2 linked regions of the Ovis aries genome follow. The protein of the gene in region 1 purifies or fractionates together with the protein of each later gene. This does not show direct contact. Links are inferred from orthologs where the notes say so. Each region holds a gene or a part of one and is shown in the gene's direction. Other genes may lie near its edges.

Region 1 (6,467 bases):
ATAATCAGCATCATTGCCATCATAGCTAATATTTATTGGAAGTTTACTTCATGCCAGTCTACGAGCTTTATATGTAGAATTTCATTTGCTCCTTACAACAGTCCTATGAGGGAGGTGTCATTATCTCCATTCAGAGTCTAAAGCAATTTGAGGAAAGATCAAGCTGATGAAAGGTTAAGCAACTTCATGAATGTCATATTAAGTAGTAGGTGCCAGATCCCAGATCTGAAAGCAGGCTAACCCAGTTTAAAGATTGTTCCTAACCTTTATTTTTACTTTGCCTAAGCCCACTTAATTCACTTAAATTTGGTATAAAATGACTTTAATCATGAACTTTTTGTTGGGACCCATTTTGATTTTTCCCTTCATCAATGAATATTGGATAACGTATTCATTCAAGGAATAGGAAGACAAGGTATAAATAACTGAAAAGTTAATAGATTTTTTTAAAAAAACCAAAAACCAAGAAACAAATACATGATTAAGTGGCATAGACAGTTTGCCTAGCAATCTGGAGTGGAACTATTTTAATTGTGTCCTGAAGTCTGGAAGGACTTTAAATGAAAGTGTAGAGGGGGCATTCTCAGAACAATTTGACTACCTCTACAAAGGCAGAAAGTCCAGCTCTACAAATGCTAGACAAGTGGGAACAAGTGAGAATAGTCCAGTAGGGCTTATGAGAGGAAAGGAAGAGGGGACGGAGGTGGGGGTCACATACATTGATTGATACTTGACGTCTTACTCAGTACAAAGAACAGTTTTAGAGCCCAACATGAGGAAAATTTTGGATAGTCAGGGGTTGAATTTGTGTTGTTTTATCTCTTCTTCTCTTAGCTGTTGTATGACCCTGTGTCATTTTATTTATGTTTCATTTTCCTATCTGTAAAAAAGGAATAATTCTTGTTCCCTTGGGCTTTTTCCTAGTCATCGAAAATGAATGAGTTAGGCCACAGTATACAAAAGGAAAATATGTAATATTTCATAAGATAATAAAAGTTGTGAAATATCTGAGCATCTTTATATAACAGCATTGTAGAAAACTTTTAATGAAACATTTAAATTCATTAATGAGTGCAGCTATACAGATCCTCAGACCTCATTTTTTAAGTGGCAGAAACTTGAAAAAAAAATTAAAAGAGGATGTAGTTAGCTTTCAATTACTTAGGAGGACCCGACAACTCAATTTACGGATTACAAAGAATTTTAATTTACTCATTTCACACGTCGTTATCAACTCTACAAGAAGTTTAAAAGGACAAAGGATGAAAGTCGAATTGGTCAGTTTCCGTGTTATTTCCAAGGGGGCATGGAGTGGGGGTGAGGGGGGAATTTCCTTTGAGTCAAGACTGGGGGCAGCCAATAATTGCTAATATTGCCTGTCTGGTAATAACAGGATGACGAGAAGGTGAATACAACGTGAAAACTCTGATCACATCTAGCGCGCCTTCCCACCCTCGCTCTTAGATGAGGCATTTTCTTCTCTCCCGCCCTCACAGAAGGGGCTGAGACAGCATCTGGCATCACAATACTAACATTTGTTTCGTGATTTCCTCTTTACTGGGCACTCTGACACACATCACTTCTTCGGCATCAGGATTCACTGGAACCTTTCTGCATTTTTTAAAACATAAAAATCTGCCAGGGGATCTGGGGGCCGATCTTTTCACCGGCTGTGACAATCGCGATCTGGACCCCTCCCCCGAGCGAGCGGAGCTCTCCGGGTTTTATTCCAGGCCTGTGACACCTCCGTGAAGCCGCCGTTGTGACTCATATCTTGCAGATCCTGCGCCCCCAACATCCAAACCCCAGAGAATCCAGCCCGATCCCACAGCGCGTGGTCAACCCGCCCAAGCCGACTTGGAGGTCTCGCGTCTGAGTCAGACATAAAGACCACCCTCGTCGGCATCCTCCCCCTGCCCCCCCGACACAGTCGCTCACACCCCGGCGCGCCGGCCGCCGGGCCTCGGGGCCTGACACACCAACGGCTGTCTTCTCTGCGCAACTTGTTATGCTCCAGCTCTTAGCCCTTGACCCAAAAACCCCGAGAAATGGAGAGCCGCAGAGCCGGCCTCGGGCGGCCTTTGAAGGCTTTGTTATTGTTTGGGTTTGAATCGATACGCCCCTCCCCATCCTTCCTCCCTCGCGGCTCAACACCCAGCTCCCGCCTCCCCGCACGCCCCAGCGCCCCTCCCCCTCCATTTTGGCGCCTTTTCCTTCCCGCCACGTCGTGGCGGCGTAGAGACCATTCTGACCGCGAGAGCCGGGGCGGGGCGTGGGCGGGGCGCGCGCCGCGTTATGCAGATGAGCCGGCCTCTGGTTGGCTGGAGGCGCGCCGGCGGGGGCGGGGGCGGGGCGCGGCCACGGAGGGCGAGCGGGGAGGGGGGGGTGCGGAGGGGAGTCGCCCTGTCCCGCCGCTCCCCCACCCCCTCTCCTCCCTCCGCCGGCCCGGCCGCCCGGCTTCCCCCGCCTAGGCCTCCCGGAGAGGCCCCGCCCCATCCCCGCCCGCCCGCGCGCCCCCTCCCCGCCGGCGCGCTCCGCCCCTTTTACTCCTGGCGGCAGGGCGAGCCGGGCGTCTGCTGCAGCGGCCGCGGTGGCGGAGGAGGCCGGAGAGGACTTGGCGGCGGCGGCGGTGGCGGGACCGGCAACAGCAGCAGCAGCTACAGCTACACACTCCCTGTGCCGCAGCGCTGCCACACCAGCCCCTCGAGCCGCCCACCCTGCCGCCCGCGGCGCTGCCTGACCCTGCCGGCGTGTCCGTCAGCCGCCAGCGCCCCCAGTCGTCCTCCGACTCGCCCTCGGCCTTCCGCGCCAGCCGCAGCCGCAGCCGCAACGCCACCCGCAGCCTCAGCCCCGGCCTTAGGCACAGCCGCCGGCGCAGCCCTAGCCCCTACTGCAGTAGCTCCTCCAGACACAGCCTCAGCGCCGACACCCTGGAGGTGGGGATGCTCTTGTCCAAAATCAACTCGCTTGCCCACCTGCGCGCCGCGCCCTGCAGCGATCTGCACGCCACCAAGCTGGCGCCGGGTAAGTGCCTCTCTCCCACCAACCCTGGATGGAGGTGGGGGGCGGCTGGACCTCGAGGGTTGAAGCTGGGGGGCTCGCGGGCCGTCACTGAGTCTCCTGGGACTCTTCCTTTCCTATAGGCAAGGAGAAGGAGCCCCTGGAGTCGCAGTACCAGGTGGGCCCGCTCCTGGGCAGCGGCGGCTTCGGCTCGGTGTACTCAGGCATTCGTGTCGCCGACAACTTGCCGGTGAGTGGGCGCCCGGCTTGCGAGGAGGGCGCGCCGGCCGGGGGCACGCCGGTGTGTTTGCCCCCCGGCGAGGGAATCTCTAACAGAGACTCTATGGGGGGGCTTTCCAGGTGGCCATCAAGCACGTGGAGAAGGACCGGATTTCCGACTGGGGAGAGCTGGTGAGTATCCTGGAGGGAGCGACCCCCCGGGATGGGTAGAGTGGGGCACCCTGTGACCCGTCCCCGCCCTAACTGCAGCCCCCCTCGCCCCTCTGCAGCCTAATGGCACCCGAGTGCCCATGGAAGTGGTTCTGCTGAAGAAGGTGAGCTCGGGCTTCTCCGGCGTCATTAGGCTCCTGGACTGGTTCGAGAGGCCCGACAGTTTCGTCCTGATCCTGGAGAGGCCGGAGCCAGTGCAAGACCTCTTCGACTTTATCACGGAAAGAGGGGCCCTGCAGGAGGAGCTGGCCCGCAGCTTCTTCTGGCAGGTGCTGGAGGCGGTGCGACACTGCCACGACTGCGGGGTGCTTCACCGCGACATCAAGGACGAGAACATCCTTATCGACCTCAATCGCGGCGAGCTCAAGCTCATCGACTTCGGGTCGGGGGCGCTGCTCAAGGACACCGTCTACACGGACTTCGATGGTGAGTCACGCCTGAGGGGGAGCTCCCCGGGAGGGGAACTGCCCAGGTGACTCGGCCTGGCCTGGAGGCCTCGGCAGGCTTCCCTCCCCGGCCCTTTGTAAAGGTCATCGGGCCGCCTGGCTCGATGCTAGCAGGGGTGGGGCGAAGGAGGGCTTCCCAGGGTAGGAAAGCTGGGAATTTCGAGCCAGCTGAACCTGTAATGTCTCTGGCATGATTTTATTTTTTAAGTGAAATTCAGTGGGTTCCAAGCTTTCCCCATGAATAAGAGGTTGTGGGCAACCGGCCGTAGCCCAGATTTCTGAAGTCTGACCCAGTTTCCCCGCCGGTAGAAGGATGAGAGGGAGGGGACAGGGGGAGGAGAGAGCGGGAGAGATGAAAATTGATTGCCGGTTTTGTCATTTTTGTTTTGATTTATAAGGGAGTTTTCGGTTGAGGTAGTTTTTAGAGCTGCAGTGTGTGTGTGTGTGTGTGTGTGTGTGTGTGTGTGTGTGTGTGTGTGTGTGTGTTTTCCCCTCCCCTTTGATCTAGGGACGAATAAGGAAGAGAAGAGTAGTTTTACTAAATAATTCATTTTGTTGATTCTTGTTATTATTATTTTATCTTGGTGGTGATGTGGAGTGAGGGACTCGGGAATGAATGTTGTGAAATAGGATCTCTTGCTGGTTTGAAAATTAGTTGGGTGTCTCCACAGAGAGGATGAAAACCTATCCTAGGGAGGGGCTTGGAGCGGGTTCTTTCAGAAAAGACGGAATGGAGAGCTCGGAGATCAAAGCAGAGGAGGGTGGGTCATCATCTGAGCGGCTTAACCTAACAAACGACAGCCTTTCAAAACTTGTGACTGGGGCTTGTGGTTTGTGTTTATTTGCCCTTGGAGGACGCTGGGTTGGGCTGTATTTTTTTTTGTATCTAACAGTTAATGGCTGGCCGGGTCCTCCCATGTTTTTTCCTTCCAGTCTTTGCTGCCCCCTGGTGAGCGCCAGCGGGATGGCCCCACATTTTTTTTTTACAACTCAAAGTTTGTAAACAGGAATCACGTGGTCTGAAGCCAGCCCAGCAGTGCTACCTCTCCCTTGGATGGAGGAAGGGGTGTGTGGGTGTCTGCCCTTGCATTCAGAGGGTGGAGAGGAAGGCCTCTTAAAGGGCACCCTGACTTAGGATATTGTGCAAGTGTCCTTGCCTGGATCATATCTGAGGTGGCACTCTGACCTGCTCCTGGGCGAGGACCTCTAATGCAATTTAAGGATAGTCTGTGGGGATACCTCCCTTGATTATGCATGTGTTCATCTCCTCCTCCAGTTGTGGGTGGTCCTACCACATCCAAGTCTGGTGCTTGGGTTTGTGGCTGGCCCTGTTTGTTTCTTGGAGCTGTTTGTTTATGGTCTGGGCTGATAGAGAAGTCGGTAATGCTTTGGGTTGGAGAGTTGCCATAAGCTGCTCAACCACTCTTGTTAGCCCTAGGGAGGGGGGATTGGAGTTCACTCAGCTGCTGACAGAAGTAGGGTGGTGCCTTATTTATTTTTTTTTTTAAGTTACTCAGCATACCTCTCAGTTGCTGTGAGTTTTATTTTTGCTAAAAGCATGTTTTCCTTCCTATTCCCTTGACTCACAGGGACCCGAGTGTATAGTCCTCCAGAGTGGATCCGCTACCATCGCTACCATGGCAGGTCGGCAGCCGTCTGGTCTCTGGGGATCCTGCTGTATGACATGGTGTGCGGAGATATTCCCTTTGAGCACGATGAGGAGATCGTCAGGGGCCAAGTTTTCTTCAGGCAGCGGGTCTCCTCAGGTAACTTCTGGGAAGCCCCTTATTGAGGAGAGGCTGGAATCACGAGGCTGATAGTCCCTGACGAGCTTGCAGAGCTTTACTCCCCAGGAGAGGCTGTGACCCTTGGTTTTAGCAGGATTCTTGGCCAGTGATCATGCTTGAGAGCCAGTCTGCAGGAATCAAATGATGTGCATTTGTGGGTGCTTTCGCAGGGAGGTCAGAGGAAGAGCACCTGTGAATATTAGGAAGAAAAAGATCATTTAGTATCACTGGAAGATTTTTTTCATTTGTTTTCAAATACCCCAAAATCCTGATCCCTTAACTCCTGGCTGTTTTGCCCGGGAGTAAGAAGTTGAGGGCTCTTTGAGCCTTCTCCCTTAAGGCAGGCCAGGCCCTCTCTAAATACTGCGGTTCCAGTGACCTCATTGTGGGTGGTGTTCATATTTATAAGTCGGCTAGGTGAATTGAATCACTTCATCATGCTTAGTGATGTCTCATCAAAATCCCTTGTCATCAGCCTTCCTATTTCTGGTGAGTGGGCGTCGTGGGAAAGGTCTTGAAGTTTGAAAACCACAGGTTTAAGAGGGGAGCTGGTTTTTTGTTTTTTTTTTAAGCTGAAAGCAAACTGGAGGCTCTAGATGTTAGTTAATACCTTCTCATTGAAGAAGCAGCCTTCTAGAAAGGGCCTGGTCTCTCTGTTGGATACCTGACCTGTGGGCCCCTGGGAAGCAATGTGGGAAGACCTTTACATTGCAAAAGCAAGTCGAGTCATTCATAACCGCTTGTCTTTCTTTCTCCAGAGTGTCAACATCTCATTAGATGGTGC
Region 2 (6,478 bases), on another chromosome or scaffold:
ACAGTTAAATATGTTTCCAATTAAGTTTTCAAAAATTATCATTAGTGACACATGGATCTTAATATATTTGATGAATTTCTATTGTTATTATTGATGCCCATACTGTCCTACTTTTGACCAATGGGAGCCTCTTCAAGTTGGCATCTGAGTTATTTTGACAAAAATGTAGTAGTTTTTGATAGCTTCTTTGCTATCTTGTACAACAGTATGTTTCAGGCACATAGTGTGTATTTCTTGTCCCAATCAGTGTTCAGTTTTAACACACTGAGTCAGTCTGTATATATGGTGGTTGTAGCAAGGACAAGGAGTTTGGAAGGACTTTATAGCATGACTTCCTGGCTTCCCTAACTCTATAAGATGCTGATCTTTAATCTGAATTTTTTGTGTAATTAGTAAACATTCCCGATTCTGCTGAGAAAACATACCATTTGTGTAAAACTGTGTGAAACAACGATTCTCCATTCTAATTCTGAATGTATTTGCCATTCTCTGTAGATCAAAGGAGAAACTCAATAATTCTTAAGAGCTTTAAGAAACTTAAAAGTCTGGGTGATTGATCTTTCCATGAGGTCAAAGTTCCAAAACAATGCAGCAGAATTCTCTAAGCAGAGCAATTCATTTAGTAGAATTAAGGCAGTTGTTGATCTTTTCCAAAGTTTAGTGACTGATCAGCTCAGACTTCAGATCTGACTAGAGACTCCCAGTTTGAGTTCCAGGGAAAGTCTATATAGAGGATCTTTGGACAATCCTTTCATTCATTCAATACACATTTATTTTAGAACCTACTATTTGGCAGGCACTGTGAGATCAACCCTGGGATTTCTTTGGAAGGAATGATGCTAAAGCTGAAACTCCAGTACTTTGGTCACCTCATGCGAAGAGTTGACTCATTGGAAAAGACTCTGATGCTGGGAGGGATTGGGGGCAGGAGAAGAAGGGGACAACAGAGGATGAGATGGCTGGATGGCATCACGGACTCGATGGACTCGAGTCTGAGTGAACTCCAGCATTTGGTGATGACAGGGAGGCCTGGCGTGCTGCGATTCATGGGGTCGCAAAGAGTCGGACACGACTGAGCGACTGAACTGAACTGAACTGTGCAAGGTGATTGGAGAAGGCAATGGCACCCTATTCCAGTACTCTTGCCTGGAAAATCCCATGGACGGAGGAGCCTGGTAGACTGCAGTCCATGGGGTAAGGCAGAGTCGGACACAACTGAAGCGACTTAGCAGCAGCAGTGCAAGGTGATGGGGATGCAAGAGTAGGCATAATATCCAACTGACCTCTGGGGTTACAGCAGTGTTTGCTACAGAGAACAAGATGAAAGGTTGATTCTCCTGTGCGTTTAAAAAATAACTTGGAGTGGATTATACTGAAGAGACGTAGCACATATGCATACCACCATAACCAAAGGGAGGCACAAGAGAATTAACAACCTTTTGTGTGTGTGTGTGGAATATCAATCATGGTCAGCAAATCTCATTAATTTCACAGTAACTGTTAGCTATTATTTCCAGAGAGGCACAGCTCCTTTGTAAAATGATAATAATAATTAAAAAGAAAAGGTAGAGCAAAGATTCAACTCTGAGTCTGATACACCAGGCGTTTCCAAACCTTGGTCTGCTAAGAATTGACTGGAAGAAACCTTTAAAATAACAGATGCCATGGACTCTCCAGACCTACTAAAACAGAATTTTTAGTGTCGGAGGAAGGAAAGGGACAGTTCTTGAAAACAGAAAAAAATTTAAAGTTCTTCGACTTATTTTGCATGAGCCAGATTTGGAACCCCTGCCCTCCTCTACGCTGCCTGCTCAAGCAGTGGTTCCTAAACCAGATGTCAGGCTTCAAGATGACCTTGGCAACTATAAACTTACTCATTACATTCAGTCTTGATCCTAAACGGCTGCTTTTTTCAAAATCAAGGCGACCGAGATTCTAAAATGCCACAGGAAGGAGAGTGGCACTTTCCCATGTACTGAGTACTAGGGGTGGCAGTGGGGAAAGGTATTCAAGCACAGTTTGGCTGACACTAAGCCCCAAACGAGCTGAAGCTGATAAACTTTGAAGATCAACCACGAAGGAAATTTTTTTCCTTTAATCCATCACGGGGATCTACTAATTGCATCCCACAGCTGCAACTGATCGAGGATAGGGGCCATGAGAACAGAGGCAGCCTCCTAGCCAAAGTCTTCCGCTCTGGTTCGGTGATTAGCATAAGAGGAACTGGCAGGAAAGTCGGAGCTTTCCATCAATGCTACGAGAGGGAAGACAGCTCCCCAGCAACCGAGCCTGGGACGCAGGCAGGACTCCAACTCGAACCCAGACTCCACCCGTATAGGTAGCCGGGGCACAGGGAACTAGGCCTAGCAGGCGCGGTTCTGGAAGGCCACACAGCTGGTCCTAGTAGTTATTGTTTCCAAATTCTCAAATTTCCCGGGCGCCCCGCCACCGGGTTCCGAAGCGTCGCGCCGGAAGTGACCTCACGACGGTGGCGTGGAGACGCAGGGCGCTTCCGGCGGCGGCCGTGGCTGTGGGGGTGGGTGTGAAGAAGACCCTTAGTTTCAGGGTCTTGCGGTGCTTCGAGGCAGGCTTGGTGTGGTGAACCGAGGAGGCGTAGGCTTGGAGGCGTAGAGGTAGGCGCGACGGGGGCCGGGTGGCTGGTGGGCGCTCGTGGGAGGGGTCTTCCAGGGTTGCCAGGGAGTTTGGTTTTAGGCTTCGTGGTTCCAGGCCTTGCAGACTTCTAGAGCGGAGGGTTCGAGATAGGGGCCGCTTCGGGTGCGCTGGGGCCCATTACTAGGACTTGCCTCCGGGGCATGGTTTGAGGTGGAGGTCGAGGGAACGGGACTCTCAGCAGTCGAGGAATTGTGGGAGGTGTGAGGCGTTAGCGGCCTAGGCTCTTAGTTTAGCTTTGTTAATGGCTCCTGCAGCCCACCCCCTCATTGCTCCCTGCCCCAGTTTCCTTTTGCACAGTGGAGAACGGTGGCAGGGAAGAACGCGAGTACCACATCCATGACAGATATCTGGGGGACGGAGATGAACTGGAGTCTGAGAGGAGAGGGTGGCTGAGAAATTAGTGATACCTGGCAGGGGGCAGCTTCTGCTATTCCTGGAGACTTACTTCCCCTTGATTCTTTACTGTTGTTAGTGAAAGTCTTAGTTTCTTATTATCGGTACTCTTTGTGTGATATTGGTTGAATTGATCAGTAATTGACTTGTTGAATGGTTCAAGTGTTTTGGTGTGGGGGAGGCATAGTCCTCACCTGCTTGGCCAGTTGGTTGTCAACAAACTTCCCAATTTCAGAGGTGGAAGGAGTCCAAACAGCCCTCTCCTGGCGTACCAGATGAGGATCTCGAGACCCAGATTGGTTTTGGTTCTCTTTCCTATGGGGTGGAGGAGCCTGGTGGGCTACAGTCCACCGGGTCGCAAAGAGTCGGACACGACTGAGCGACTTAACTTTCCTAGCCACAGACTAAACCGATTTCAGTTTGCGCTCTGTCAAATAAAGGTCTTAATCCCATCAAAACTTAAGTGATTGCCTCTGAGCAGGTCACTATTTCAGCTGGAAACCTGATGGAGTCTAGTCTTTTATTTATGAATGGAAGATTAAATGTACTGAGCACAGAATTCCTATTTTTTGGTTTCTCTGTACGAAATGGAAATGGTTACAAAAAACATAATTCTTTGAGTGCTAAGAATCTTTTGTTGAAGCCTTCTTGAGGACTGTGGGACTAATAGAGTGTCTCTAACTTTTTTGACCTGTGACCCACAGTTAATGTATTTTGCATTCTGACTCTTTGTGACCCCTGCATGCATAGAGTGTGTACACAGGAAACAAAAATTTGCCTTCTATGTGTGTGGTACCCTCTGACATTTTCTATTTCATTGAAAGGAAAAAAAAAAAGTTGATTGTAACTCACTAAACTGATTCTGACCTGTAATGGGTCTGACTGCTAAAGAACTGTAGTTTGAAAAACGCTGGACTAGAAAATGTTTAATTAAGATTCTTGAGAGTCCAGGATTCGTAAGTAATGCAAGGTGGAAAATACAGCATTTTTCTGTTATCAACTACAGGAGCAGGGTTATTAGAATTCTTCAATCAGAACAACAGGACATGACATCCATATTAGTATCCCAAAGGAGTACAGTATCTGTAATGATAATGTGTCCGAATTTTGGCAAGGCATTTGAGTCTTTTCTGGTGACCTGGTGGGTGAGATGGGGTGGGAGATTTGCCCTATTGTGGTTAAATTAGGTGACGGCATGACTTTGGGCATCTGTGTCTGTAGGGATTTGTTTTATGGATACAATTACAGCTGAGAATTTGGTGATCAGTGTTGAGGATCTGTCACTTTTTTATATGCAGTGTGTATTTGAAGCCTTATCTGAAGAGTGTTCTTATCAAATTTGTTGCCTAATGAAGTGAAGAGAGAAAGTATCATCTGGTTAATCTCATTTGCCCAGTGTAGTTTAATGAAATGGAAGGGTCATCATAAATTTAAGTAATTTAAACATTTAATTGAAAATGGTTTAGTATGTAATTTCTGTTAGGTTGTAAATATTGACTTTTGAGAAATAAATACAAAGTTTTCTAAATCTAATAGTAATTTGATGCTTTAAAAGTATATAGATAATCTTTTTTAGATATAAAAGCCCTCGAAGATATGGCTGTGTATAAATGGTGTATTACATTACCTGATTTTCAGATGTTAAGCCAGTCTTGTGTTCCTAGAATGGATTCTGTTGAATCTTGGTGTATCCTACTTTCTATATATTGCTGAATTCAATTTGCTGATATTAAAAATTTTTATGAGGAATATTGGTCTGAGGTATCCTCTTCCTGTGATGTCTTTGGACTGGACTCAGTATCAAGAGTAAAATTACCCTCATAATGTGAGTTGGAAAACGTTATTCTGCTGTCTTCTGAAAGAATTTATGTAGAATTGGTAATTATTTCTTTCTTTACGTTTGATAGAGTTTACCAGCAAAGTCCTCTGCGCCTGGGCTTTTTCGTGTGGGAAGATTTTAAAATTACTCATTCAATTTCTTTACTTGGTGTAAGTCTGTCTGGATTTTTTTTTTTTTTTAACTTTTTGAGTCAGTTTTGGTAGTTTTATCTTTCTGGGAATTTCTTATTTTCTTTTTTCTTTTTGAACTTGTATGCACCCCACAGAACTGTATCCTGAAACAGGAGTCAGCAAAGTTTTTCTGTAAAGGGCTTGCTGGTAGGCTTTGTGGGCCATGTGGTCTCCGTTAGTACTACTCAGTTCTCTCATTGACGTGCAGAAACAGCCACAGACAGTAAGCAGAGAGCTGTACTAGGTTCTGTTCCAATTCTGCTTTGTTAGCAGTGGGCCAGATTTGGTACATGGGTGTAGTTTTCTGACTCCTGTTTTAAAGTAATAAACTTTATGGTTGAAAGTCTTTATTTGCTATCTAGGCAGATCAGCTTCATGATAGAGTAGGGTGGAAGTTGATTCCCTTGCTTCCATGTCTTTGTGTACTCCTAAGGATGTGTGTATTCCACTTTGAAGATTGAGTCTTCATTTCCAAGATGTTGTAGAGGTAATTTAGGCATTTTTGTAGTTTTTCAGGTGAGACGGAAGGTGACCCTCGTAGTATAATTTTCTAGGGCCATAACTTGAATCCCCTATTTGGCCAGTATTCCTTCTGTGAAAAGGAGGTGTTTGTAGGACTTCGCTGGTGGCCCAGTGGTTAAGACTCTGCTCTTCCACTGCAGGGGGAATGAGTTTGATCCCTGGTCAGGGAACAGAAATCCTGCAAGCTGCCCCCCCCCACCCCCCGCCCAAAAAGGGAGACATTTGAAGTAAAATTTGGTATATGGTAAAAATTATATAGATTATCTCATTTAATCTTCACAGTGGTTCTATGAGATCGTTTAATTGGTATACAGTTGACTCTTGAACAGTTGGGGGCCAGGGCCTCCAACCGTCTGCAAAGTTGAAAATCTGAGACTAACCTATAGCTGGCCCTCCGTATACATGGTTCTTCTGTATCTGTGGTTCTGCATCTCACATTCAGGCAACTGCCCATCGTGTAGTACTGTTGTATTTGGTGAAGGAAATAGGTATTTTAAGTGGACCTGCACCATTCAAGCCCATGTTGTTCGAGGGTCAGCTCTACTTCCCATTTTATAATTGAGATAGTTGAGACTCAGATTAGGATAATTTGCTCATAATTCTGGCCTTTAATGTCTGACTTCAGAAGCCCGTGCCTTTTTCACTATGCTGCCTTTTGTGGAAGATAGGGACTTAGTACTAGGATTGTACTAGTAGATGTTTTCTTTCAAGATCTCTGTCATTTCCAAGCTTTTGATTCTATAGACACGTTTCTACATAGATACCTAGTTTTTCAGAAATCCATAACTAACCACTTATCCATAATTGTTGATTTAATTGTCCTTAGCCACTCCAATACTCTTGCCTGGAAAATCCCATGGACGGAGGAGCCTGGTGGGCT

What was found.
Region 2: the proteins of PIM1 (region 1) and EDC3 purify together in Homo sapiens (affinity purification with mass spectrometry; 3 studies listed by BioGRID and IntAct, counting the BioPlex papers as one, with this or other methods). This does not show direct contact. The link is inferred for Ovis aries from reciprocal best matches to the Homo sapiens genes PIM1 and EDC3.

What each region holds. Positions count from the first base shown.
Region 1 is NC_056073.1:11,143,359-11,149,825, forward strand, and holds the start of PIM1 (serine/threonine-protein kinase pim-1), read left to right. Parts: upstream 1-2,546; 5' UTR 2,547-2,942; coding exon 2,943-3,024; intron 3,025-3,143; coding exon 3,144-3,250; intron 3,251-3,360; coding exon 3,361-3,411; intron 3,412-3,509; coding exon 3,510-3,876; intron 3,877-5,485; coding exon 5,486-5,662; intron 5,663-6,441; coding exon 6,442-6,467. UniProt on the Homo sapiens protein: Proto-oncogene with serine/threonine kinase activity involved in cell survival and cell proliferation and thus providing a selective advantage in tumorigenesis.
Region 2 is NC_056071.1:31,654,832-31,661,309, forward strand, and holds the start of EDC3 (enhancer of mRNA-decapping protein 3), read left to right. Parts: upstream 1-2,493; 5' UTR 2,494-2,633; intron 2,634-6,478. UniProt on the Homo sapiens protein: Binds single-stranded RNA. Involved in the process of mRNA degradation and in the positive regulation of mRNA decapping. May play a role in spermiogenesis and oogenesis.